Astyanax mexicanus: one gene and its partners. The protein of the gene in region 1 purifies or fractionates together with the protein of each later gene. This does not show direct contact. Links are inferred from orthologs where the notes say so. Each region holds a gene or a part of one and is shown in the gene's direction. Other genes may lie near its edges. The genes, in order: cdk8, med1, med9 and mediator of RNA polymerase II transcription subunit 26.

The links.
Region 2: the proteins of cdk8 (region 1) and med1 purify together in Homo sapiens (affinity purification with mass spectrometry; 14 studies listed by BioGRID and IntAct, counting the BioPlex papers as one, with this or other methods). This does not show direct contact. The link is inferred for Astyanax mexicanus from reciprocal best matches to the Homo sapiens genes CDK8 and MED1.
Region 3: the proteins of cdk8 (region 1) and med9 purify together in Homo sapiens (affinity purification with mass spectrometry; 10 studies listed by BioGRID and IntAct, counting the BioPlex papers as one, with this or other methods). This does not show direct contact. The link is inferred for Astyanax mexicanus from reciprocal best matches to the Homo sapiens genes CDK8 and MED9.
Region 4: the proteins of cdk8 (region 1) and mediator of RNA polymerase II transcription subunit 26 purify together in Homo sapiens (affinity purification with mass spectrometry; 5 studies listed by BioGRID and IntAct, with this or other methods). This does not show direct contact. The link is inferred for Astyanax mexicanus from reciprocal best matches to the Homo sapiens genes CDK8 and MED26.

The regions. Positions count from the first base shown.
Region 1 is NC_064408.1:96,297,471-96,304,431, forward strand, and holds the start of cdk8 (cyclin-dependent kinase 8), read left to right. Parts: upstream 1-3,943; 5' UTR 3,944-4,272; coding exon 4,273-4,400; intron 4,401-6,961. Other genes in the region: E3 ubiquitin-protein ligase RNF6, read right to left, coding at 441-588.
Region 2 is NC_064422.1:3,176,174-3,183,608, forward strand, and holds the start of med1 (mediator of RNA polymerase II transcription subunit 1), read left to right. Parts: upstream 1-4,415; 5' UTR 4,416-4,436; coding exon 4,437-4,539; intron 4,540-6,578; coding exon 6,579-6,685; intron 6,686-6,789; coding exon 6,790-6,868; intron 6,869-7,435. UniProt on the Homo sapiens protein: Component of the Mediator complex, a coactivator involved in the regulated transcription of nearly all RNA polymerase II-dependent genes.
Region 3 is NC_064422.1:7,758,538-7,765,866, reverse strand, and holds med9 (mediator of RNA polymerase II transcription subunit 9), read left to right. Parts: upstream 1-4,316; 5' UTR 4,317-4,338; coding exon 4,339-4,439; intron 4,440-6,851; coding exon 6,852-7,071; 3' UTR 7,072-7,310; downstream 7,311-7,329.
Region 4 is NC_064411.1:30,858,350-30,865,555, forward strand, and holds the start of mediator of RNA polymerase II transcription subunit 26, read left to right. Parts: upstream 1-4,190; 5' UTR 4,191-4,452; coding exon 4,453-4,524; intron 4,525-7,206. Other genes in the region: trnau1apb (tRNA selenocysteine 1-associated protein 1-like), read right to left, coding at 149-201, 615-714, 967-1,064, 2,725-2,760. UniProt on the Homo sapiens protein: Component of the Mediator complex, a coactivator involved in the regulated transcription of nearly all RNA polymerase II-dependent genes.

The DNA.
Region 1 (6,961 bases):
ACAATCTACATTTTTGCCTGTGCATCAATTAAAATTATGTCTCAGGCAGATGAGGCCCTATAAAAAGGTTCTCAGAGGCTACTTTAAAATAGTGTACTTCTTGGTGTGAGATCGTTGATTGCTAAATATGCCTCTACTATACACAAAAATGTCTTTTCGTGTATAGTAGAGGCATATTTAGCAAGTTCACAGTCTTTAAAAGTTACTGAACTAAGAGAAACAGTCATTTGTCAGCCAGCCACTATCGCCTTTGTTTGCAGTTGTGTCGTGAATAATAAGCCTGGATGGCTGTTTAGCGACAAATACAGGTTACATTTGACATCATTTCTAAATAAAGCAAGGTTTTAACACTGCTGATATAATGAGTTACATTAAATGAGTGCTCAAGCAAGACATTTTAAATACTGTGCCAATGTGTGTGTGTGTGTGAATGAGGTTACCAGGCGTGCCCAGCAGGTTGCTGTCTCTCATCAGCCGATACTCCTCCTCGCTCAGCTCGTTGATGAAGTGATAGTATGCCTCCTCCCGCCGAAGACGCTCAGCCTGACGGCGACGCTCATCTCGCCCGCCGGGAGGGTCCATCACCATGAAAACCGCTGTTTTTCAACAGTCCCACAAACAGAAGGGTTCAACATTAGAGCTGCAAGCCTATGTGCACTTACCTGCTTATTGCTGCTGATACAATGACCTCAAGACCATAACAAAAATGAACATCATTAAAGGTGCGATTACAAATGCCAGTATGTGAACTGCAAAATGACCATTATAAAAAAAAAATTTATGATGATAAGATCATAAAGAGCTCTATATTAATCTCTAAATAATGAAGAGAAGGTAATCATAGAATGATGACCCAAAGCACACTCGCTCAGAGGCTTTTCAACCCTAATAGCAAAACAAACTGTTTATGTATGCTTAAAGTACTTTCATAAGATCAATTAGACTGATTAAAATAAAAAAATACAAATGAAAGACAAAAGCTGACTGTCCTGCAGGACCACTGAGCAGAGCAGGTCTAAAAAAAATAGGCTAGAAGCATAGACATGAGACAGCAAAAATCACATTAAACGCACGCACTGCTGTCAGAAAACATGAAGTGACACCTTGATTAATTAACAAGACAACAGAGCTCCTTAATATCTCACACAGCAACCACTTGAAGGATGGCACCACTAGGTTAAATGAGTTAAATAAATAAAATAAATGCATACCAACATATACCAATCTCTCTGGATTTGCTCTAAACAACACATCTTTAAAGCTTGTTTGTAACAGGCTTTAAATATGTGGCCACCCTAACGACAGTAACACAATAACGCGAAAATTAACAATATATACGTAAATAAACCGCTGCCCTTTCTACACCAGCACCTCTGCTGTCTCTGACTATGGAGCTATATAACCTAACACAGTAGGCCAAGGCGAAGAATGTAAAGCAAGCAGAGCGACACGCTGACGTAGCCAGCGCAGCAGCCAATCAACAAGTCGATAGCGATGACTGGCACTTCGAATGCCCAATCAGAGCTGCCCGAAGGCGGTACGTGACTAAGAAAAGTCGGGCACCGTGTGAGCGTTTCTAACCGAGGCACAATGAAGAAGCCCCGACTTCTCTTTAAAACGTTATTAAAATCACACTTCACATGCAGCAATAACACGTGGCCACGTTATAGTACGACATGCGCAGACGAGGCCGAACAGCGAGCTGTCATTCTGTCTGCGCAGCCGGTTCTGCTGGTGTCGACAGATAGCCGCCGTGCTAATAACCAACAGCTAACCAAAAAGCGGGTTTGACAACCGATTAGACAGCAGACAGGTCCCGCCACGAACACACAGCTAAACACACCAACAACAACCCGGCCGCTTTCAGCGAAAGAGAGCCGCGGAGACACACATAAACCCGCCAGTCTAGTACCTGAAACAGCAGCGATAATATGGACGAGTCCTCTCTTTTTCCTCTTCGCTCTGATTACAATGTAGAGCTAAGATGGGACCAACGGAGCCACACACACTCGCGTCCGGCCGGCTACCTGACGCGCTGCACACACGTTCCTGTTCACAAGCACCCCCTCTTCTTCACCCCACACCCACTCACCCCAAACATTTTTTTTTTCATTTAATTATTTCAATTATTTATTTAAGAAAGACATTACTAGTTTTAATATTTAGTGGGCTCTTCAACTATAAAGACATTGGTCTTTTATTGTACATATATTGTATTATATAGTCTTCCTTACACTTATTTATAAGATTACTGGATCACAATGTTTCCCTTACATTTATTACTGTATCATACTGCTTCTATATTACTAGAATTTATGTACAATTACAGTAAAAGTAGTTACATTACAACACTGTACATCTGCAATATTCAACTGGCAATTTGAGTTTTTGTTGTACATATATTGGATCATACCATTTTCCTTACATTTTTTACTGAGATTACTAGATCACAGTTATTTCTGGAATTACTGTAAATTTGCAATATCCAACTGGGAAAAAATATTTTGTTGCACTGTGTATATATGCATATATGTATTATTATTATGATTTATTTTTAGTTCTTTAAAATCACAGTAAAATATTTTCCATTCGTATAGTGGAAATATACTAGAAATATAACTAGAAATGCCAGTAATTTTCTCTACATTTTTAAAGTATTTTAAAGCGTAGACAGGCACATCGCATATGTATTTGCTGCTAAAGCCTGAAATTGGTGCAAACATACTTTATAGCAAATATTTTTTATAATATTCCAATAAAATGTATATTGTCTAAAATTACTCATCTTTCTTTGTTGTTTTTTCTTTCACCTTTTCTATAATGTTGTCCTTCTAAATCTTAGCTAACACATAGCTGTGTGAGATTGGGACCAGGGTGTCTCTTGGTGTCAGTGCCAAACAAAGGCCATTGTTTTTTCTGAGTGAAGATCGTTGAAGAGGACGTGGAGTGTAGCTTTATACAGAGACTACACTCGAATGCTTAAGTAGCGAACGCAAGTTTAAGACGCAAAATAGTCGTTTTTTTAATTTCAAATACTCGTTTGGTAAAGAGTTAACATCCACGTGGTGCCTCCACAAAGCCCCAGTCTTTTCATTAGTAATGAAAAGTTCGATTCAGTTTGCCGAGTCGGTTCATTTAAACTCATCCGTTCGAAAGAGTCGAACGCACGATTCGGGTTACCTCGTTCTCGTAGCCTCTCTTGCAGAGTCATTGCATTTGAATGCAGAAGTCCCTAAGTGACATATACTGAACATCCTAAGAGCATCATTACAGAACAGTCTGCGAATCTCTGTTCGTTTATTTCACTTGATTTTTTCTTTATACTTTAATTAATAATTTGATGTTCTATATAACTATATCTGAAACAAATTCTAGAATAAAAATGTTAAAATATTATGAAGTTTATGAAATTGTTGTTGTGTTACATCAGGAGTTTAGCATTAAAATATTTACAGTCATGTACCCACAATCAGAAACAAACATGAATTAGCTGCTCACTGAAATAATCAGATTTTAGTTTGAATTTGGTATCAGTATTCAAAAATGAGTCTGTGCTCTTATGGGATACGTTGATATAAATATATAATTAGGGTTGCCCAAAGTGTGACTCCCAGCCACAACATGACTTATTAGTATTTTATATAATAACCTATTACATTTGTAATTTTATATATAGTGTAATTTAATTATTTTATAATTAAACACATTTTAACTGGAATCATTTGCTAATATGTTTAGACCAGCAGCATCAAACCCACCACAAACACACGCTCATCCTCCCTCTTCCTTTAAGACAATAGGTATGGTCATCTCTGGCGTGGACCCTGCAAAATAGCTTCCATTCCAACGGGGGTAAAATGAATCGGTTCAACAGACGAGTCAAAAAGAGCCGTTCAACGGAACCGGTTCACACGAGTCGGATTTCGGGGGTTTTCAGGCGAGCGACGGTTTTGCGACACTGCCGTAAGCGGAGCCTGCTCTCCCGAGTGAGATACCGGTTGCGAGAGAAAATCTAAAGGAACTATTTGGGGCAGAGCCACATATGGTGGTGCTTCACCTCAGCACACGTTAAAAAAACACGCTACCCCTCCTCACTCACACTCAGCCCGGGGTACATGTGGCGGCTGAGCTGAAGCGACGCGAGGGAAGGCAACTGATTGTGTGAGCGGCGCTGGAAGTAAGTTGCCTCCCTGGCGGCGCTTTAAAACAATCAGAAAAACACAAACACACACTCACAAACACACCCCGACCTGCCCACAGCCGCCCGGGACGATGGACTATGACTTCAAAGTTAAGCTGACCGGAGAGAGAGAGCGAGTGGAGGACCTGTTCGAGTACGAGGGATGCAAAGTGGGGCGAGGGACGTACGGTCATGTGTACAAAGCCAAGAGGAAAGACGGGTGAGTTTCACCACTCGGTGACAAAACGAGCTGAGTGAGGCCTGTGAGCCCTGCTGTCTGACTGTCTGAAAATATCAGAGAATGCCCCTGACATCTCTGCTGTGCTGCTACACCGACCGGTTCCGTGTCTTTTAGATTTACCAGCAGAAACAATAAACACAGAGTGCAGTAAACCTGCGAGTGAAGGCAGGCTGGTGCCACTGGTGTAGCTGGGTAACTAACTTAGCTGTGTTGTTGTCATTTATGGAGAGCGGCCCCTTTATTTTCTGTTTGTCTGAAAAAAAACGCCACACAATCAAAATTTGGTGTTGTGTGTTACCTAGGCATACTCTGCATTCATGGCATATATATATATATATATATATATATATATATATATATATATATATATATATATATATATATATATATCTTCTGTAATAAAAAAAAAAGCTTTTCTGTGTGTTCAGACTGGCAGTGAAAGCAGTCTGGTGTACGTGGTGTAGCTAGGTAACTTAGCTGTGTTGTCATTTATGAAGAGCAGCCCTTTTATTTTCTCTATGGTTGAAAAAAACTATAGCTATAAAACGTCAAAACAATCTAAATTTGGTGTTGTGTGTTACCTAGGCATAGTCTGCCTTCATGACATAACTATATATCTCTTCTGTAATAAAAACAAGCTTCTCTATGTGTTAAGACTAGCAGTGAAAGCAGTCTGGGTTCAGTGGAGTAGCATTAACTTGGCTGTGTTGTTGTTGTAATTTATGAAGAGTAACCCCTTTATTTTTTCTTCATCTGTCACTGGGGGTTCTGTAGTGTATGTTCAATCTTTTGCTAGATTTTCTGTTATGTGGTCACATTTCTGTATAGCTGCTTTGTGAAAATATCAGTTGTAAAAAGCACTATATAAATAAATGTGATTTAATTTGATAGCTATAAAACACCCTTTTATCGCAGTTTGTTGTCTGCCAACATGGCACATAGATATCTCAGCAAAATGAGCCTCTTGTGTGTTCAGACTAGCAGTGAAAGTAGTCTGGTGACAGTGGTGTAACTTGACTGTGTTGTTGTCATTTATGGAGAACAGCTTCTTCTTTTCTTTTTGAATAAAAAACGCTATAAAACGCCTCTTTGGAATCCAAATTTGGTGTTGCATCGTCTGCCATAATGGTACATAGATATCTCGTCTCAACTGTGTTGACAAGCAGTAAAATCAGTCGGATGTCAGTAGTGTCACATCGCTAGCTATTTATCCCTCCTGTAAAACGAGCTTTTCTGTATGTGCAGACTGGTGTGAGTGGTGTAAGTTAACCGATGGTGTTGATACTCATCCAGTGCACTTCCATTTACATCTATTAGGGCTACATGTTTTAATGACATTCAATCTTTTTTCAGTATATGTATATATATTAAAATAATAAAAACATACAGTAATTTCCACCACATTTCTTCTGAACTGGGACTGTGTTCTCTCTGGAGTGATTGTACATCTCACTAATGCTCCTTTTGCTAAATGCAATCAGATTCTCACAGAAATGTTCCAATATCAATGCTTTTTACTTTCCATAATTGGATTTTTATTGGAGGTGGCAGGTGTTTTTGCTAAGTATGTCTCTATAAGAGATTGCATAGTGCAAAGTGATGAAGACTAAGTGAATTAGATCAGTGGAGAGTAGCATAAAGAATATGCAGTGTCACATAAGGAAAGTTATATCACACATTTCCTTTCAAAAGGAAAATTTGCACTGTTCTTATTTTCCATTTTCAGAAGAAGGTGTCTGTGAGTTAATGTGTCAGAACTGAGTTGCTGCACTTTCCTCTGAGTGTGCTGGCTACTCGGTAATGCTACATCAGCAGCAGTTTGAAAAAGAGGCGGCTGACTTCACGTGTCAGAGGAGGCATGAGCTATTTTTACCCTCCTTGCGTTGTGGCATTACCTGTGATGGGGAATATAAAGCTGCCTTGCAGCTGAATGGGTGGGCCTAGCTAAATTTGGAGAAAATGTAGATTAAATAAGAATCTTAAAAATTAAAAGTTACTGATTTATCTCAAAAGGGAGAAAAGTACCTTTGGTTATTCGTTGGAAGGGATTTGTAATGCTTTGTGGATGTTTAGAAGAACCCATGGGTTATATGGTTGGGACTATGTTTAATATCTTAAAGAATTTATAATATTTAGCACCACTAGTCATTTTCTAACTATGATTGCTATAGCTCCACCAAGCTTATTAAAGTCTAAGACCGATGAAGAAGTTATCCAAGAGCAGAAATCTCTGGATGCACCTTTATTTTTTTTTACCCCAACTCTGTAGATTTTTGCCATGTTCTTCAGTCTAGGCTGCAGTAGTGCTGGGCAGTATACCAGTTTATATGGTATTTCCGTAGGGGAAATTAAAACCAGTATGCCTTTTTTACATACCGCCATACCGCTAGAGGCGCTGCGGAGGGCCATAAAGAACAGCTCCGCCGAAGAAGCACCCTAGCAGAGCTCACTAATGCTAGCCACTTGGCAACCAGCATGACAAGCCAACACACTGGAATTTCAGCTCTGTGGAGCCAAACGCTCTGTCCTGCCTGGAGAGT
Region 2 (7,435 bases), on another chromosome or scaffold:
CCCGGCCAGCGAGAAGACCAGCCTGAGCTGCAGTGACGGAGCCAAGATGGCGGATTAAGACTTGCAGGTGGTGCCAGGCAGTGCGCTAAACTCAGAACCAAAATGGCGGATCAATGAAGATCTTAATGGCACGGAATGAAAGAGATGGGTAACAGAGGCTGCCGGGTTTGTGTGCCCACTGTATAACGGGCGGGTGGGGCAGGAGAGACTTACTTAGCACCGGCGAACGTGCCCCGCTAACCCACCCCACGGCCCAATAGGGGGGTCCCTGCTGCCGTGGCGGGGTGAAGTACCCTCTGATTGATGGCACAGCTTCAGCTCGAAGCCTCTGTGCCCATGTGCGGTGCCCCCCTCCTTCCTTTATTCTACTGATATGCTGGCACTCATGCCAAGCCCATCCCCTGCCAGCTCCCAGTAGACACATCAATTATAGCGGGCATCGCTTCTATCTCTCTCCTCCCTCTCTTTCTTACTCAAACACAGCTTTACAGTCACACACCAACACACCTTTTCTCTTCACGTTATTTTATTTATTTACTTTGCGTAGGCCGTGTTCAGATTCTCTCATTGCTTTTTTAAGCTCTAGCATCGCCAGGCGAATGTTGGTGGCTTTTTAAAGGCATATGCTTATTTGTTATCTGATGCTCATTTTATGGGATGGTTGTTCTAAGAAAAAAATATGCTTCTAGGTACTCAGCGTCTTTCACTGGAGCACGTCCTTACAGCTTCAACATGTCTGCCAATGCTGCCCTCCTCTGTTTGCATTGTGCTACTACAGTATAGTGAATTTGGACATTCCCCCTGGTACTGAAAACTAGCAGTCAAAGACCCTGCTAGAGATCGACCGATATTGTTTTTTTTATTGGCCAATGCAGATATTTAGACAGCAGATGTATATAATTGATTTAACATTTTATATTTATATTTATAATTTATTTATGTATATATTTATTTATGTATATATATTATGTATATATTTTCACAACTGATTTTCAAGCAACATAATCTCTTTTACAGTTTATTTAAAACAAACACAAAATATGGGAAAATACTGACAAATAAAATGTGCAATATAAATAACAGTCTAGCTTAACTTTTCTCCAAAGGGTTTCCACAGCATCCTCAGTAAAGTACATTTTAATGATATCCAGAGGAGATAATAAATAATGCAACAAAATGTGATCAACTGTTCTTTTATTATGTTTAACTTATTACTAAATAAAGTACAGAATATGCCATTAACTCAGTCACATATTTAGTGTAGTATTTACAGCATTTACCTGACCTATGTATTGTAATTACCACCATTAACCAAACCAACTAAATACAGGACAGCTTCCATGAATTAGCTAGATCCAAATAATGATAATACACTGTTTATTTTATGATACAACATGATATTAATTACTCCACATGATGCTGGTGTTTCCATGCATGTTCTTCCTTCACACTATTCACACATTTCAGCCACACATTTAGTGATATTTCCATTATGTACACACAATTGATCACGACACCCACAGTAACAATACTTTTTTTTTGTCTGTGTCAATTTGACTATTTTTTTTATAATTATAGGACAACAATGCAATTCAAGTGCCTTTATTTGGTGGGGAAAATATTTTAAATGAAATCATGTGTTCCACAATTATTGGCACCCCTGGTGTTAGTACTTTTTACAGACTCTTTTTGCAAGATAGGAGAATACAGAAGAGGGGTCTCTGACTATTCAATTTGATTTTTAATTTAATTTCTATAGCGCTTTTTACAACAAAAGTTGTCTCGAAGCAGCTTTACAGAGAAAAACAGGTCCTTTTTTGAGCAGCACCACAGACATGACAATTATTATTGCGACAACAGTGGCATGGAAAAACTCCCTTACATGAAGAGGAAGACATACTACACAATAAAATTATATGTTTGCACGGTTTTACTAAACACAACATGTTACATTCACAGTGAGGGGGGAAAAGTATGTAAATCCTGGATGTGATGAGATTGGATGTGCTGGTTAAAGCTGTCCTGCCCTATAAAAAATGGCAATAATCAGCCGATCACTGAACCCTACTATCAGTTTCATATTGTGATTAAAGTATTCTTATCTAAAATAAGCATCATGTTGTAAAACATTTTACAACGGAATAGAATAGAATGTGTTTATTGTCCAAATGTGAAAATGAATCTTTGGTCACTCATGGCACAAAGATATCTACAACATATCACATATTTTAAAATAAAAAAGTTGCAAAACAAATTAAACAACTGATGTATTCAGAATTTCTATTGCATTTGGTACAAATAATCGCCTGTGAATATTACTAGTAGCTGTTGGCATCATCATTTGCCTGATGGCATCTGTTAGAATTGTAAGTTGAAAGGGTGAAGTGTATCCTTTTCTAAATTGTATTGCCTTTCTTTAAGTACTGTTGTTGACTTTCTCCTACCAGTTTTTTACTAATCTCATCAGTCCCAAACCAAACTGTTATAACATAAAGCACTTTCAATAAGCAAGCGATACAGTAGTTCTACAGTATCCAGACTGACCTCAAACTCATTTGATATGAACTTACAAATACTGTTAAAGGGTTATGGGTACAGAACCTGGCTTTATCGTTTCAAATATTATATGTTTTTTCTTACATATTCAATATTGCAAAAGATGGTTTTCTTATGCATTCATTGTTTCAAAGATTAAATGACAGACATCCCAAGTTGCAAAAGTTGATTTCAGGGAGGTTAAAAAAAACTGATTGGCTGTCTCACAGACTCTTTGCAGAGAACAGGCCAATCAGAAGCCTCTCTGTTTTCTCTCTCTCCCACACGCGATTAGAGAAAAAAAGTCTGTCGCCTGTGTGCGTGTTTGTGTGCAGTGCGCGTTTGGGGCACTCGTTCTGAATTCCGGGAGATTATATGTGACTCGCGGGTATCAGGGAGCCACTACCGAAATGCGGGAGACTCCCGCAGCTTCAGGGAGACTTGGTTTGTCTGAAATGAATTCTCCTGTCTAAAAGGTTTCTCTTTATATTCACATTCACTGCAAATCAATGTGAATAAATGTTAGATGGCTAACGATTGGCCTAGAATGATTGATAATGTGTCATAGTGCCATATATGGATGCCCTTCTGCCCTTCCAGTAGAAAAGGGAACCTTTATGCAGAGCTTTCTAAAACACCCCTACTAGACTAGCTGTGCCAAAGTTTCCCTTTCTACTACAGAAATAGAGATACGGTGCTTTCTTAATGAGATAAACTGTATTTGACGGTACGAAACAAATTACATTGTTAAAAAACTCATTTCCAGTGTTAAATGGGCACTGGATAAGATTAATATTTTTGTTCATGGGCTCCCCCTACAGTTGCAGAGTGTAACTCATGTCCAGGTAAGGGTTGAGCCTCTCCATTCTTTTGCTTCTGTTTAAGAGTGAAATGACACAGAGCCAGTACATCTCCAACACAAGAGAGCTATCTGAACTGTAGCGATAATTTGTCTGTGTCATTTTGCATGACAGGTTTTCTTTATTGGTAAAAAAGATGACTCAACCAAGACATTCAGTGTCTACAGCTATGATGAAACAGAATATGATTACATGACTACACAGAAGCACTAAATAAAACATTACACATAGTAAAACTTAAACAAAGTATCAGTAAAAATTCTAATCTGGATCAAAATATGTGCAATATCTATGCCCTAATTACCCAAATCTGGACCACAACATCATGAAATAATGTAAAAACTTTAGGAGGCAAGCTAGACTAGATTATATAACACAGCGTAACAAAATAAATCGTTCCTCCAACAAGAAGCTGGCCAGATCTGTATCTGGTAACCAAACAATTTATTATCTCGTAGCTTGCGCCAATGAGTAAATTCTCATTAATCAATCAATCGGTCTCTCGCTCAGTTACACTCTCTTCTTCCTCTATTCTGCCTTTTTGCAGCCACAGCGAAAATTCTTTAACTGAAGGACTGAACTGGCCTCTTCTGTTTTGGTCTTCTGTGTTCAGTTTCAGACCTCCTCTAGAATATACTAGCAATATGACCTGCTCTAATATGGAAGTGTGTTTACTGTATTAAATATATAAAAATATACAAATATGATGAACTTTTATTCCTTTCAGCATGTTTATCTCCTCCATATAATGCGCATCATTGGGGGAAAAAACCTAATTCACAATGTTAAGTAAATGTTATTTTTTAATAGAGTTAAACACTTCAGACAGAAAGCTTTGATTTAACATTTGCATTAAAGAAGGTGGGTAATTCGGGTTTTACACAGAAGAATATCTCTGCTTTTTCCCTGTAAACCCCTAAAGCCTGAATTTAGAGCTTAGTGGGAGGTTTGGAACACAGCCCAGCACTTTTACTGTGAGATTTGGGACAGACCCAAACTCAGGCGCCCTCGCTGCGTCACACCGGCCGTGAGGGAGCGAAGATGGCGGCGGTGCCGTTAGCCGGCTGCAGCCCCGCCGCGGAGCCTGCAAACACCGCCGCGGTCCCAGGGCCCGCGGAGCGGCTCAGGGTGGAGGAGGGAACCGGTACGTGTGTGCGGATCACTTTCACCCGCCGGATTAACCAGCGTATCTCTATCTACCGCGCTTTACCAGCCGAACTGAGCTGGGTCTTTTACCCACATAGCCTAGCTTAGCTAGCTAGCTAACAAACAGAGCAAGCTATACCAGCATTAGTGTTAGCAGTAGCATTAGCATTATCTGTTGCTGTTATGAATTGAAGAGCAGGGCAGCCTATTTAATAAATTCTGTATAATAATGTTACTTATTATAAGGATTCCAGATGTGGGAGTTATATATAGGGTTATGGCAAGGTGTCTGTATAAAAGGACATATAGTATTTTAAAAGAGAAACTGTTAAAAGTGATTCGCTGATTAGTTAGCTATAGGTTGCTAAATACCCAACTAACAGAACAGCGCAGGTTTGAAGTTTAGATACCCGGTCAACAGGGTCCAATAGGTGGAACATGGTTCAGGTGGGTTACTGGTGAATATGGGCCATGAATAGCTTCGTAAGTGTGTTTTTACTGGGACCCAGCTTCACAAATCTGTCCCATCATTACAGCCACCTTAATCAATATTTTGACACCTTATATATAAACAGAAATACAATTAAGTCTGAGTGGAATCTAATTTCTGAGTTCTGCTGTGGGATGCACCTTCACTTGAAAGGGACTTGGAAACATGATGGAAAGACAACTCGCCAAACTGACATCAATTTTCACACCAATCAGTGTGAAGGATAGCGAGACCCATCCTACATATGTAATGACAAGAAGTAGCAGTATCAGTATCCTGTTTATTGTCAGTTTTTTTTACTTTTTACTGCTTAATATGAAAGAAAAATGAACACACTTCTTATTTTCCATCTGTCCAGTATCATTAATTTTACTTCATCAGTGGATACGTGGATTGCATTATTATGATTTTAACATTTAATTCAATATTTGACTTCTGGAGAAATCTGTTAAAATTAGTTGAATATCACAATAAACATTGCAGAACAACAAAAATAGTGTAATTTTTTCCACTATGCAACTATAATTTCAGGACATATTGAGAGATACAGAAGCATCATCTGAGTGTGAAAGAAGCATGTGGATTTCATGTGGTCTGTAGAATAATATTACAGGAATTTGAGATGGCCCTATCAGTGGTTTAGGGGCATATCTTAGAAATATCTTAGTATCGTAGAAATATATAAATAAGTTATAATTCTAATAATAACAATAATCTAACATAACATTAGCTCAGCTCAAAGTCTGTGAATCACTATACAGAACTGCACTGTGGAGCTCAAGTCATCCGATACTGATACACAGCCGATCAACCTTTTCACCTATAACAGGGATTGATGTGAGTGTGACTTAAGGCAAATTCATTAAGGCCTTTAAAATTGTTTGTTTTTTGTTGGGACATGCTCTCTGTGGGTGGGTAGATAGCATTCTCTCACCACATGATGTTTGCCCCTGCCCATGATGTCTCCCCATGGTGATGTGGGTCAGCAGCACATGCGTGCCACCACATTGGTCTTCACTGTTGAGGGGATTACCAGTGATATTGGGAGTCCTAATGAGTGGTTTGGGTAATTAGATCTCCAAATTTGGCAGAAAAAGTGTTGCAATTGACAATGATACTAAAAAAAAAATTTGCAAATCTCATAGACCCATATTTTATGAAAGGCAAATTTTTGAATTGTGAATATTTTCCCGTATTTGTCTTATTTTTTTGCATGATGCATCTTTAATCTGCATTTGTTGATTGAACCGCTCACTCTGGATACAATGTCTGGGGCCAAAACAATGATTTCCAGAAAAGAATGTTGCCTGTGTTCTTATGTAGTGGGTTATCAAATACTGACTGTCAGCCTTGTACCGATAGCTGAGGAGAGATAGGAACACGTTTTGTACATTTTCAACATTGTATAGCTTGTATAGTCTAAATGATATGATTTTAGTTGCTGTGATTTAATTGTTATAATTTTACTTGCAAAAATTTGACAACAGGTCAAGGGCGTTTTGTTTACTGTTAATTTTTGTTTTGTTGTGTTTTGTCTGTCCCCTCAGAGGCAGAGAAGCAGACTCGGGTGTCCGCCCTGTTGGAGAGATTACACGCCAAGCACAATGCCGCTCGGCCCTGGCAGGAGACCAGCAAGATCGTTAGACAGGCCATGGTGAGAGCAGAGCAAAGGGGCTAAAGGGACTGTAGTGGTGGGAGTAACTGAGCATTTAATACAGTCTCTGTTTGTTTTTTAACACTGTTTCTGTTTGTGCTCAGGAAAAGCGTGGGGTGATGAATTCAGCCGGACACCAGCTTCTGCTCAGCTGTTTGGAGACACTACAGAAGGCACTAAAAGGTAAAGCTTTACTGGTTATCACAACTCAAACAAATGTAATTTTTAAATACAGATCTGTGCTTTTTTAGTTTCTAATCCTCTATATTAATCATTTAAAATTATTTATTTAAACATTAGGAGAGTGTTTGCTGTAAAAACATTAGATCAGATGCAGGTAAACATAAATGCAGTTAAAAGTAACCAGAATTTCTTATTCTGAAGAAATTAGTGGAGATATTGTGAGGAAGTCTAAACAGCAAAGTTGGGTCCCTGATTCCTCCTGGTTCTCCTGGTCAACCCCAGCCAGCGTCCCAGTGGATGTGTTCAGTTCCACCAGCAGCTGATTTACCATCAGCACACTCTGATTTTACTAAACCAGCTGCTGATATGATGAGAATTCTAAATATTGCATGGAGAGCTGTGGAGATGTTTTAATGAACACTGTGATATAAAACCACTGTTTGTATGAAGGTTATTTGTTTTTAAGTTTTTCACTGAGCAAGTAAACCAGGGTTCATACGGTCATGAAAAACCTGGAAAAGTCTTGGAATTTAAAAATACCAATTTCCAGGCTTGGATAAGTTTTGG
Region 3 (7,329 bases), on another chromosome or scaffold:
TCAGAGCTGCTGCGCCCACAGATACACCCTCTGACTCACAGAGAGAGAGATCTGTCATCTCTCGCCCACTGCACACACACACACACACACAAAGCGCTGATCAGAGGGAGAACCAGGAGCAGCTGGACGATGGCTGGCTCTGGTTAGATGAGCGGTTGGTTGAGTTCTCAGAGAGTTCTCCTTTTATCAGATGGAGTTCTGTTTACCTGCTGTAGCACCCAACCAGTGAGGCCAACTGTGACCAAACACTACACTACACATACACACAAACACACACACACACAAACACACACACACACAGACGCAAACACCACGTCAGGATCAAAACTGCAGCCTCTTCAACAGCAATGTCCATCCAGCTGCTTACAGAGAATCACATCAAATGACTCATTTCACTGATAAGAGTCAACTCTTTTAGCCTCTGCAAAAATCAATCAAGCAATCTAACTTTATCTTTCATCAGAAAAACAATGAGGGTGGTCATAATTTCCAGTGTAGCGAAGTGTGTAAATGCACACACACAGTGCTGTGAAAATAAAAAAATAAAGATAGAAACCTAACTAGCTTACCAAGGCTATGTTCAGACTGCTCAGAAAGCCCAATGCAGATTTCTGGCATAAAAAATACAAACAAGATAAAGAAATGCTCCAGGGGTCACAGATGTGAGGCGCAAAAGACAAAGTACAACAACAATTTCTCAAAAAGAACTAAGCACTGGCAGTAGTGAAAGCTGTGCCATCCATATGCATCAATAAAAAAAATAATAATATACTGGATTTGTCCCAGAGCAAGGAAACTCCTAGGGTTGAAAGAGTGAAAAGTTTATTTTTCTTCTGGGGTGGTCCTGTTGACTTTTGCTTAATTGAGTAGTTCTTGCCATAATATGAATTAAAACATTACTCAAATAGGGCTATTCTTATCTGTAACAATGTGTACTTTGACAGTAGTTACATTGTTATTACATGGATTGTTAATGTGTAACTACACAGTTATTAGAGACACATTAGTAAGACCAAATTTTTCACAAAATCATCTGCTGCTCTCCAAAAACAAATGCACACAAGAACTAGTGATGCAATGCAGAAGATACATTAATTCTTTCTATATGCATTCTCATTGGCTGTAGGTTGTCGTTGCTTGCCAACTGGTCCAGATATCAAACCTGCTAGATGATTGCTGTGCTTCTGTGACTCTTTTGCAATCATTTAGCCACATCTTTTTGGAAAAACTACAAAAAAATATTCTGCACTAAAATTGTGTAGTAGTGAGAACCATGAATTAGCTGTGTGGGTACAACTTTGTTAGTTTTGAACTACAGAAGACTTATCTTAACTCAAAGAACCTTAACTGGGGCGTGGGCCCAAAATTGTATGTTTTCTGGGTTTTTTGGTGTTTTACAGGTAAGCCTTGTCCAGATGTGGCCCAGTTTACAATGGCCTACTCCTAGGTGCTGCATCCATCACACCGTACTAAAAAACAGTTACAGAAAACAGGGTGAATCTGAAAATGTAAACAGTTTTTTAATAGACCAATGTTTTTGCCATCTTTTATTGCTAAGGAGAGATCAGACATTGACCCGAAACGAATAATCCAGAATATCTTTAAAGCTCCACAGCACACCCGTGATCTCCAGCTATGTAAGAGACTCGGCCGTGTTAAATCCCATCTCTGACTGAACTATTGCCTGACTCATGCGTAGGTTGGTTCCAGTCAGGAGGAAGCCGTGGATGAAACGATACACAGATGCTGCAGATTCACTGTTTCATGCTAAATCAAAAAGCCTCTGAAGATCATCTCCCTGTCCAACCCTAGCCTTGTGTGTCGAGACAAACAATGTGGTCCCTATAGTGCTCTCCAGCTTTCCTCATCTGACCAGGATGCTGCTCAGCTCTGCCAGAGACCATGTGATGTTTTAGCTGGTTGGAAAAGGTTCTTACATAAGTCCCACGTAAGAGCGGCCCAGAGTAACTAGTGTTGAATCAGGACCCAGACTTTCCAGGGTTCGAGTCAGAGTAAAGACCACAAATTTGCAGTAGTTGTGTCTGAGTGGAGTGCTGTTAAATTGAGGTTTCTTAGGCTGGTAACTCTGAGGCTGGTAAGGTTGATGAACTTATCCTGTGCAACAGAGGTCATCTGTAGGTGAGCCACCAACCGTGCACCATGCAGCTTGATTTAGGGTGAATCAGTGTGCCTTTGCTATTGTAACGACTGGAAAAGTACACCTTGTACAGATTGAAACTAACTCGTTCTTATTCTCTTAATTAATCATGGGTGTGTTTTGGCCATAATGTGAAATAAACCTATCCGTGTGCCATTCTCTTTTAAGAGCCAGGTTTGCTCTGACTTTGGCAGCTTGCTAGTTTTCTCTATTATGGGGGTCCTCTATGATATGACCATCCAGAACGACCATTTATGTGTTTTTTTCAGGGGTCCTCTAAGAAAATTATAGGCTGAATTGCCTACAGTTTTTCACTGAACTCCGTGGTCCTCTGGTAATTTAGTCCCATCCGGACGCACATCTCTGAGTTCCATCACCTCGCATTTAATAAAATAGCTATTTGTCCACTGCTACGCACCGTAATTACACTTTGGGCGCAGGTTTTCACAAAGATCCTCGTAAACACAACAGCTAGTGGAAATGGAGGGGCTACTGAACATGATGTCATGTGACCGAGAAAGCTAAAAAACTCACTGGCCCTCCTGTTTTTTAAATGAGGTCTGGTTGCAAGAGTTTTATCACTGAGTGGAAGTGTGAAATATTTTTTTTACAGAGAAACTTATCCCATCCGGATAGGGCTTAATGCTAATGAGGCAAAGTAATTAGAGCTTATTTTAACTAATTTTATATGTGATTTTTGACACATTAACCATGTTTACTTCACTGTGTAGAAATGGTTTGTAACATATAAAGGTCAATATCGCATATTAAATAAAAATGTTGGTACTATGGTATTAGTTACTTACTTTGTGTGCATTAAAGGTAGAAAAAAAAGCATTTTTATACTTATCCCTCTTTGGAACATAACTCAGAGTTGAAAGGGTCAAGGTGTGTCCAAATGTTTTACTGATACTTTAATTAGAACATAATAAATGAAGACGATTTCTCTATTCAACCACTTCTGTTATGTCTTAATGACATTAAAGCCTGGATGGCTTTAAACTTTTTGAATTTTAATGAAAAGAAAACAGAAGTGATGGTGTTTGGTCCCAGTGGTTCTTGTGAAGCCCCCCCTGTTGATTTGGGCCCCTTGGCGCTGTATGTGAAACCTACAGTTTCTAACCTGGGTTTTAAGATGGACAGTGATTTTAAATTGGATCGCCAGATTGGTGCAGTAGTCAAGTCCAGCTTCTTCCACCTTAGGCAGCTGGCAAAAGTGAAGTCAGTTCTCACACATGAGCACTTTGAAACAGTAATCCATGCCTTCATTACATCCCGGCTGGATTACTGTAATGCACTATATTTTGGGGTCAATCAGTCCTCCCTTAAACGCCTTCAGTTAGTGCAAAATGCCGCTGCCCGACTTTTAACAGGTTCACGCAAGAGAGAGCACATTACTCCCATTCTGGCCTCCCTCCACTGGCTGCCTGTGCATTTTAGAGTTCATTTTAAGATTCTTTTATTTGTTTTTAAATCTTTAAATGGACTCGCTCCGCCTTACCTCACTGAGCTGCTCTGCCCCCACGCCCCCGCTCGGTACCTTAGGTCAGCTGATCAGCTGCTCCTGGAGGTGCCGAGGTCAAAACGCAAGCTTAGAGGGGATAGAGCTTTTTCAATTGCGGCTCCTAAACTGTGGAATGGCCTACCACTATATGTCAGACAAGCCCCGTCACTGTCCACGTTTAAAACCAGGCTAAAGACTCATTTTTATTCCTTGGCTTTTAACCCAACTTAAGACTTTGTTCTTGTTTTATTTATTAATTAATTATTTTTTTAATTTTTTATTTATTTTTATTTATTTTATTTCTGTTTTTATTTTATTTTGTTTTTACTTTTACTTTACTTAGTTCTTAGATTTATCTGAAACTTTTTATTGATACCTACATTTTAATTTGTCATTGTTTCTAGTATTTTGTTTCTTATCTTATAATGTGCTATGTACAGCACTTTGTTGCAGCTGTTGTTGTTTTTAAAGTGCTCTATAAATAAAGTTGAGTTGAGTTGAGTTGAGTTGAATACATGTGTTTAATACGTGAAAAATGCAAATGCAAACAAAGACAAAAAGAAACGTCACACGCCGAGGCACGCGAGCCTTGCAGTGATTAATAGCTAATATTATTAATAATAATAATCTGAATAATAGTCAGATTGGTCTGTGTTGCTGATGTCAGAGGACTGTGATGTCAGAGGACAGTCAGCTGAAGATGGCGAGCGCTGTGGCTGTGGTGGAGGAGACGGAGGATTACTCCTTTTTACCTCTAATTCACGATATTATCAAATGGTAAGAGTTTACAGCCCTAAACTAGACTGTCGTCAACTGAACAAGCCCAAAATACAAAGTCTGAATACAGAAAATACCGGTTTACGGCCGGTAAACTATCGGGACCAGCTACAAAAGCTAACGCTAGGTTAGCTAGGCTAACGCTAGTTAGCAGAGAGCTTCTGAGTTCCCGCTTTACTGCTCGAGAAACAGTATTATTTTAATTAAAGATGTGTAAAATATAGAGCTGTATATACACTGTTATTATATGCAGGATAAATAAGGCAGCATAAAAGTGTAATTAAACAGCTAACCTACATGTGACGCTGTAAAAGAGTGCTGTGGCTATTGTCTGTTCCACCTTAAAAGGTTAGCTAGCATCTGAGGCGCCAGAACGTAGCTAAGCTAAGCTAACCCTAGCTAACTGCTGCAACCTTTAAGGTGGAACGGACAATTCCAAACTCGGGTCACTCTAACACAGCCTCTATAAACTTATGTCCAAATTATACAGTTAAACAAACATGTAACTCTTATTGCACCAATGAATGTCTGCTGACAACAAAACCCTAAGGACAATAAGCATTAATTAACATATATTTTGTTCAGCTAAACTTGTAGGTTAGCTAGCTAGCTAGGTATTGTTATTTGTTTACTTCCATGCTGGCTAACTAACATTAAGTAAACTTTTTTAGCTAGTGTAGCTTTATTTTATTTTCTATAACGTCTGTTTCTTACACCCAGATGTTCAGTGTAACTAATTTAATCTGTTACAAACTACTTTTGCAACAGGATGGAAAAATAGTAACATAAATTCATTTTTTCCCTGAAATTTCCTGATTAATAGAACATTGGGAAAACGGATGAAAACCGTATTTTCTTCATAATGCCAAATAGAAAAAAATAATACACACTCTAATTTTGCCTCTCATAGTCAGAAAATACTGATAAACATTACAGTGACCCACAATTTGTCCAAATATCACTTTATACAGAAACTGACCAAAAGCTTTGGAGGATAAACAAATAAATTAATCATAATCAGATTTCAATATCGACACTTTCCTAAAATAATCAAAATAAAATACATTTTCTCACGTTTTTCAGATGATAAACTATCCTCTTAAAAAGTTATCATACAACCCATCAGTAAAACAAACCAGAATCAGTGCTATATCAAAATTTTGAAAAGACAAAAAACAATTAAAGACAGAAAACATTTTAACAGCCACAAATTGTAGCACATTTCTACCTAGCTTTGTTTTTAATGCTTTTAGTTATATTTTGCTGACAAAAATGCAGACTAAAACCCCAATAAAACCTAATAAGATTAACCAGCCATGCAAAATGCATAGTCTATTTGTAGCCTTTATTATTATAAAAGGAAACTTAATTAAACTTGTATTAGGCATAATAAAGCTTAAGTCATTCTGAAATAGGGCATTATTCCTAAGGGGGTAGAATCAAATAATCTGATCAGCTGAGGCTGTAGAAGAATTTACCACAGGTGGCAATACAGCACCATAAAGAGATGCTTTAGACAGACACAACAATTTTGGTAAAAAAAAAAAAAGGCTATTATTAAGGAAGGTGGTGAAAAATTGTTTTGAAATGGGGGTCAAGATGCATCAGTAGTGACAGATCCATAAAATATACAATTAAAATGCTTTCCTATACTACTGATGCATAAACATGTTTAATGTTAATTAAATAAGAAAATGCATCTTATTACAATAAAATATCGTCATGCCCACCACTAAAATAAATAAGGTTAAAGTTTTAAATGTAATTGTGGTGGTGAATCTGAACAGATACTTTTTTGGTACATTTTGCCAGGGGTATCTCAGATATCAGGCAGTGTATTTGAAAAACATTTGCTGTAATAACATTCTGTAAACAAATTTGATTTGGTAAGTTTCATTACAACAGAGCATTCAACCCCAAACCCACTCTGAAGTATTTATGATAAAATTCAGCAATGCAAATTTGACAGCCAATCAGATGTTTGGATGTAATATGTTACTGCTTTTCGTTCACACATTTCCATGCTGCTATAGCAAAAGTTGCACTCTTGATTTCATATTGCTGTATGTATGGTTTTATATTATTTTATTTTTATGCTGTTTTATTTTTTTCTTATATTTATATTATTTTAACTATTTTAACAATTGCTCTTTTTGGTGTAACTGGACCATGAGAATACAGTTGTCTTTAGTCTCATGCACCACATTTAATGTGAACCACAATAAAGTCTCCTTGAATCCTTAAATTTTAGAAATGCTTATAGAGTCATAGCTGCTAATCAGTAGAATAATATAAGTTACTAATCTTGTCCTGTTAAAGTACAGATTTTTGATACTCATCTTTACTTATTGCTGTTGTATTACCTGCACTGTGTCTTTTTTAAAATGGATATATCTGGCTCTGCATCCACAGCATGGACAAAGAGAACCAGGATGTTCACCAGGAGTTAAACAGACTGAGAGCACGGATTCAGGAGGCACGGGAGCAGATTTCAGCTATGCCTGGCATTGATGCGAGTCCATCAGCACAGCAGCAGCGTCTGCAAACGCTTAGGGATCAGGTTCGTACCAAGAACCAGCTCTTACACAAGTACAAGGGCCTGTGTATGTTTGACATCCCCAAGCCTTCCTGAGGAAGAGGATCAGAGGATTCTACAGAGTAAATAAGGACAGATGGATTATTTATTGACAGACAAACTCATCTGAAAAAGAACTGTTCCACACAAGGGACTGTGCTTTTCCCCATCATTCGTGTGACTTTACTGATTTTGACTGTGCTTTAGTTGCTGTTAGATAATTTTTTATTTTTTATTTTTTACTGCTGAAAATGTCAAAGCTGTGTCTAATAAACCAAACATATTTTCTAAGAACATATCCTTTCACGTTTCAGT
Region 4 (7,206 bases), on another chromosome or scaffold:
ATGTGTAAATGCATTATTATTAACATTTATTATTTAATTATGCCAATGGTATAAAATGGCCTTAAAAAGGACAATAATATTGTTTATCCCAATTATTTCTAGGACAATATTGCTATGAATAAATAAAAAAAAAAGGACATGAACTCACCCTGGTTCGGGCCTTTTCCCGTATGTGGCATAGTTCAGCTTGAACTTCCTGGGCTAAAATGTAAAGGAAACAATAAAAAATATATAATTTTCAGCTGCAGAAACAACATGTCCCGTAAAATAAAAGATACTTCTTTAATAAATATGGCGAATAACTTTAAAATGAGGAAGCTTTTGTACAATTACATACCTCCATCACTCAGTACTGGCTTTATCCCACTCGTCAGCTACTTCCTAACAGAGTTTATTCACCAGCTTCAAACAAAGTCAATTACAAACAGCCTTCACCACCTTTATTCAGGAAGACATTCAGCTCTGAGTCTCCGAATCACTACTTATACAGAAATACTGTGGAGTCTTAATCATAGCAGGTGGGGGCTGTGCTGGATAAACTTCTAAACTCTAAATAAATGAATATTAAATCTATGAATATAAATAAATATGAAATAATTAATCTCAGCACTCACAGGATTTGACCCTGGAACCAGCTTCCCATTCAGTCTCTGAACACATCGATCCACGCTGGCTTCATCTGCCAACTCCACGAAGCAGTACCCCGCTGAGCCTCTGGAGAGAGGGAGAGGAAGAGTGGGAGAAAGGGAGAGAGTGAGAGATCAACAGCACTGTGAGATTACAACCAAAACAACTTAGAACAATCTATTATTCACATATTGCACACAGGACATTTTGTTAAACATACAAATACATTGATACAGATTAATATGTTGAACTTCTTCTCTGAAGCAACTGCATTATTGCTGTGTTGCAAAATACCGTCAGAGAACACTTCTACCAATAGCTAAAGGTCAAAATTCTTACCCTGTGACTCTGTGCGTTATGATTTTCACACCATAGGCCGTCTCCCCCATTGTGCTGAATGCCTGCTTGATGAAGTTTTCATCCATGTATGGGTCCAGCTGTAAAATAAAAGCATAAAACTAGTACAGAGCTAGTGTTGACTAAAACAATTAAAACAATAAGAATTCTAATTTAAAGAAAAGTGCTTAAAACATTCCCTTTATAGCCTTAGGCTATTTAACTGTCATTATCCCTCTGTTCCATATAGGGCTGCATGACATACGAAAAACTGACAGTACAGTATATATTGCCATAATAAAAATACAGGAATTTCACCAGAACTGATCCAAAATGTAAAGATAATAATAATGCAACCTGTGTATAAGTGATTGGAGTGAAATTAAAACTATTGGGTTGATACTGTTAATAAGGTTGATACTGCCAACCATAACAACTCTCATAAGCCATGTTTTCTAAAAAAAAAAAAAAAGAGTTTATTTGAGAAGGTGATTATTTTAAGAAGGTATTTTTATGTAGTTAATGATTTTTTTTACTTACACAGGTATTTGCACAGACATGTGCATCTCTATATTTAAGGTACATAGACTAACAAGGTTAGTTACAATTGTAAATTGACTTCACTAAACAGCTCTGGAAAAAATAAGGGACCACTTAAAAAGAAGAAGTGAAAACCTTAGTGGAATATAATCAAGAGGAAGATAGATGATCACAAGCCATCAAACCAAGCTGAGCTGCTTGAATTTTTGCACCAGGAGTAGCATAAAGTTATCCAAAAGCAGTGTGTAAGACTGGTGGAGGAGAAAATGCCACGATGGATGAAACTGTGATTAAAAATCAGGTTTATTCCACCAAATATTGAATTCTGAACTCTTAAAACTTTATGAATAAAAACTTGTTTTCTTTGCATTATTTGCGATTTGAAAGCTTTGCCTTTTCTTGTTATTTCAGCCATTTCTTTTTTCTGCAAATAAATGCTCCAAATGACTATATCTGTATTTGTAACTTGGAAGAAAGTGTCCGTGGTTTATAGAATAAAATAACAATATTTATTTAACTTAAACATATACCAATAAATAGCAAAATCAGACAAACTGATTAAGAAACTGAAATGGTCTCTCTTTTTTCTCAGAGCTGTAGATTTACAAATTTGTAGCTTTAACTGAAGTAAGCCAGACAGACAAATAGCATATTAATCTATTAGTTAGCTAGTTAACTACTTGTTAAGCCTACAACTCAGGGGTGTCCACATTTCTGTGTAAGCTAGCTAACTATAGTTATTTGTAAAGTTTAACTTTTGTGACTTCTGCACTAAAAACTAGCTTACTAAGCTCGTAGCTTCAGTAAATCTTATAGAAACGTCCCATTTCACTTTAAATATCTGATCATGAGAGAACCAGCAGCTGTTGGTTTAAGGTGGAACGGAAATAAGAGGCTAACTTTACCTAACGCTAGCTAACGACATAAAGCTATGAGCTTTATGAGAGCTAGTCTCACATTCCTGTCAGAGTTGACTCAGTTTAATATAAAATAAACAGATATATCCAGGGTTAAGTAAAGATAACGTGTTAAAGAGGTAAATATAGTTGTTTATTAGCTAGTTACGCTAGGCTAAGCTAGCTCCTTGCTTAACTCAGTCAGTAAGCTAATGCTACGTAACGTTAGCACGATGCTAACTCGTGTCTACAGCTTCATAACCCACAGCAGTTAACCGCTGTATAATTAAGAGTTTTAGAGTTAAAAGTTCGGTTTAACACTCACGTCCCCCATCCACAGGCTGGTCATTCGGTTAAACATGCTGCTGCCGGTCCGCACACTGACCCTAAGCCTGAGTTTAAACTGAAATAAACTCGGTGTGTGTTAAACTAGCTGTGTTACTCAGAGCAGCCTGTCCGGCCTCTCCTCCCCCTGTGTGTATGTTCAGTGCGGGATCATATACGGGGAGAGTAGCGCCCCCTACCTACCACAGCCACAGCACTGCGCCCTTTACAGTTAAACGGGTTTAACAGGACTCCGATTCGCTTTCGGTTTTCACCCCTGATGCAGTTTATTTAGGCAGGTGTGAATGCAGTGAATACAGGTGGGAACAAGTCACAGCCAAAATACAAACATATAATTACACATTTGATATTTATACAGTATACAGCTCTGAAAACAAGGCACCACTTTAAAATGATCCATATAATTTTGCTAGTAAAATTACCCTTGTGGTTTAGTTATATAAACCACTGATAACATTTGCAAATACAAATACAGTTACAAATACAAATATTGTCATTTAGATCATTTATTTGACGAAAATGTCAAAAATTGTCAAAATAATGTAAAAGGTACAGTGCTTTCAAACCCTAAACCCAAAGAAAACACGTTGATATTCATTTAGAAACAACAATCCTACGTTCAGAGATCAATATTTGGTGGAATAACCCTGATTTTGAATCACTGCTTTCATACATCTTGGTATGCTCTCCACAAGTCTTTCACACTGCTTTTGGGTGACCTTATTCCACTCCTGGCAAAAAAATGTTCAAGCAGTTCAGCTTTGTTTCCAATGCGCAATTCCACACAGCTAGATCAATTAAGGTGTGGATGAAGGACCACCCGATCAAGACAGTCTCATGGCCAGCCCGATATTTAGCCATGAACCCTAATAAAAAAATATATGGAATGTAATCAAGAGGAAGATAGATGGTCACAGGAAATCAAACAAACTGAACTGCTTGAATTTCCGCAGCAGGAGTGGCATAAGGTCCCCCAAAAGCAGTGTGAAAGACAGGTGGAGAGCATGCCGAGACACATGAAAGCTGTGATTAAAAATCTGGGTTATTCTACCAATTATTGATTCTGATCTCTTCCCAAGATACAACTTTAGTATTGTTGTTGTTGTTTTTAAATGAATATGAACTTGTCTTCTTTGCATTATTTGAGGATTGAAAGCCCTGTATCTTTTTCCTTAATTTGACTATTTCTCATTTTCTGCAAATAAATGCTCTGTTACAATATTTATATTTGGAATTTGGGAGAAATTTCGTCCGTAGTTTATAGAATAAAACCCCAATGTTCGTTTTAATCAAGCATATACCTATGGATAGTTTAATCAGAGAAACTGATTCAGAAACTGAATTTATTTACTTATTTATTTTGATTTATTTATTTATGACACAGAGCTCCACTGCCACGCTAATGACGTAATGACGTTTTTGAGAGTTTTAGCTTCCCACAATGCAGCGGGGCCGTGCTTTAGCAGTGTGGTATCGCGGAGGGAGGGACAGACAGACAGTGAGCTATGAAGCGGAGAGACTCCACTGTCCAGCCCTCGCTGTCCGCCTGACACCGTTCATACATCCACGAGCCGAGGATCACCTTACCAATATGCGGTTCCCGTCCGCTCCGAGCGCCCGCCGCGGTCTGTGAGTCCCCGCTGAGCCCGCAGCCCCGAACCCGGAGGGTTTTTCCCCCGTCGGCGCGTCGACTCGCTCCGAGCAGGCAATGACAACCGCCTCGGCGACCCCGCAGCAGATGAGAGACCGGCTGCTGCAGGCCATCGATAGCCACAGCAATGTGAGTAGCTGCCGTTAGCCGGCCGGCCGGCGGCCAGCCAGCCCCGGGGGAGAGTGCTGAACTCTGCGGGTACTCGTTTAAAGCACCTCACCATCACACTCCTGAGATCCTCCAGACTGCGAATACACACCGCGTATCGCTTTGCGTAGATTAAAACGATAATGGACATGGATAAAGTTAGCTAACTAGCTAGGTTAGGTAGCTTCTCTTCACATCTTCTCCGTTCCACCTTAAATAACGACTGTTACTAGTGCGGCAGTCACACTCAGGCGCTTCAGGCTACGCGTTGAAAGTGCAGCACCATTTAAGGTGGACTGGAAAAGATCAAATGAGAAGCTGCTAACGTTAACTTGCCTAGCGTTAGCTAGCTAGGTTGGTGTTTAAAAGATGGCAATTGATCCAGCTGGCTAGCTGTTAGCCAAAGTTGGCGAGCGAAACGCAAAACTTTGGCATCACCGTTTAACACCTTTATTAACTCAATCCGCGCCTTCCCGCGATATAATAGCGGCCACATCGTTTACTTTCCCCTCCATAACAAAAGCTTCGTTTGCCTTCTGACACAAGTTACACAATGATCACCGTTAGCCGCCAGCTAGCTAAGCTAACCCTGCTAACGCTAACTAGCCATGCTAAGCTAACTACATCATTTTCAGACTTTGCAGAAAAGTTGTACTTCTCAGTTTCCCCTCACAACTACACAAACACGAATTTTAACATATACAACTGTTTAAAACGTTCAGTGAAAGTATGTCCACACCAAATAAATGTTAACAACTTTGCTAGCTAATCTAACTAAGCTATGTAACGTTGGATAGACGGTCGCCTAGCTTTAGCCACATGGCTAACTGTTAGTTAGCTAGCGCTAGCTAACTTGTCTTGGGCTGTATGTCAACTTTTTGGAAAACCGCGATGTTTTTTTTAAATAACAAGTTAGATCTCGCTGTCAGACGATGTTTAAGTTAGTTAAATTGACACTCTGTTGATGCTAAAGTGAGTACAGAAGCTTACAGGACAATAACTACGATTTTAAATCGTCTAAAGTTCTACCTGAACGAGATTAAGTGCTGTTAAGCTAGCTGTCAGTTCCCAGGTACCATTAGCAACAAATAAGGATATTTCATTACAACACCTAAACAAAGTTGGCTAAAGATATTTAAACTAGCTAACATCCAGGTAACATCAAACAGAGGACTATGACACTCAGCTAGCTTACGAAATCTAGAGTAGTTTAACATCAGGTATTGCTGTAAGACCGTAGCTAACTTTGGCTTGTGTACTGTAGCTAACATCTAGGCAACAATTGAAAAAAAAAAATTACATAACACCACTGACATCAGTTTTGATGAGAATTGTGTTAACATTAAACCAACACCAGCTAAAGTAGTGTAACATCTAGGCAACAACAACTAACTGACATCAGCTAAAATAGTGTAAGATCTAGGGCTGGATATCATTAAAAAAAATCAGTACGGATGCCCAAACAATACTTTTTTTGTAGATTGTAACCATACAAAAAGCGATAAATATTCTCACAGAGCATGTATTTAACAGACAGAGACATGAGAAAATTCATTCTCATACGGTCACCATGAGAGACTGCCATACTTTTGGATCTTGTTGGAATAATCAAACAATGAGCATGTTGTGTCACACGCCAGTTTAGAAGTCTCGAAAAACGGGCACCAGATTACATTTTGGTACTCTGTATTACAGAGATATTTTGGTCAGTACCTTATTGGTACAGAATTTTGATTCCCAGCCCTAGTAACATCTCACCAATTTCAGCTAGAGTACTGTAACATCTAGGTAACAATGTCTAAAATCTAGGTGAAAATCTCACTGACATAAGTTAGAATAGTGTAACAGCTAGGCAACAACCAGTAGTAAAAATGATCATCTAAGTGGAATCAGATAGATTAGTGTAACATCTAGCTGACATTAGTTAGAGTAGTGTATGTAACAGCTGGGCAACAAAGAATAAGTTTAGGTAACATCTCACGTACATCAGCTTGAGTACTGTAACATCTAGGCAACACTGGCTATAAATATGCAACATCTAACTGGAATCAGATAGATTAGTGTAACATCTAGGCAACATCAGCTAATTAGTAAAACATCTAGCTGACATTAGTTAAAGTGTTGTATGGAACAGCTGGGCAACAAAGAATAAGTTTAAGTATAAGTAACATCTCACTTACATCAGCCAAAGTAGTGTAACATCTAGGCAATAACTAATGGCTAAAATGATGTAAAATGTTGTTAATGTAATCTAGAGTAGAATAACATCTCACACATCGGCTAGAGTAGTATAATATTAAGACATAACAGCTAAAATGTAACATCTAGCTGAAAATGGATAGAGTAGTGTAACATTCAACAATTACTTATATAGTGTAACCTCTAGATAACCTCAGGTAGAGTAGTGTAACTTCTAGGTGACACATAGAGTATTGAATTGTTAAACCAACATCTGCAGTGCTAAGCTAGAGCAGTGTAACGTCTACTATGGAAAGTAGAACACGTCATAACTTCGTCCACACTGACAAGTTTGGTAGAACTGCGCAACATGGACACAAACCTTGAGCGACACAGCTATTTGGACAGTGCAGCATTGACTAGTTAATAGGACTATAGGCAATAGTAAATTGACAAACCAGAAGACAAATGTGCAAAGCTGCAGCA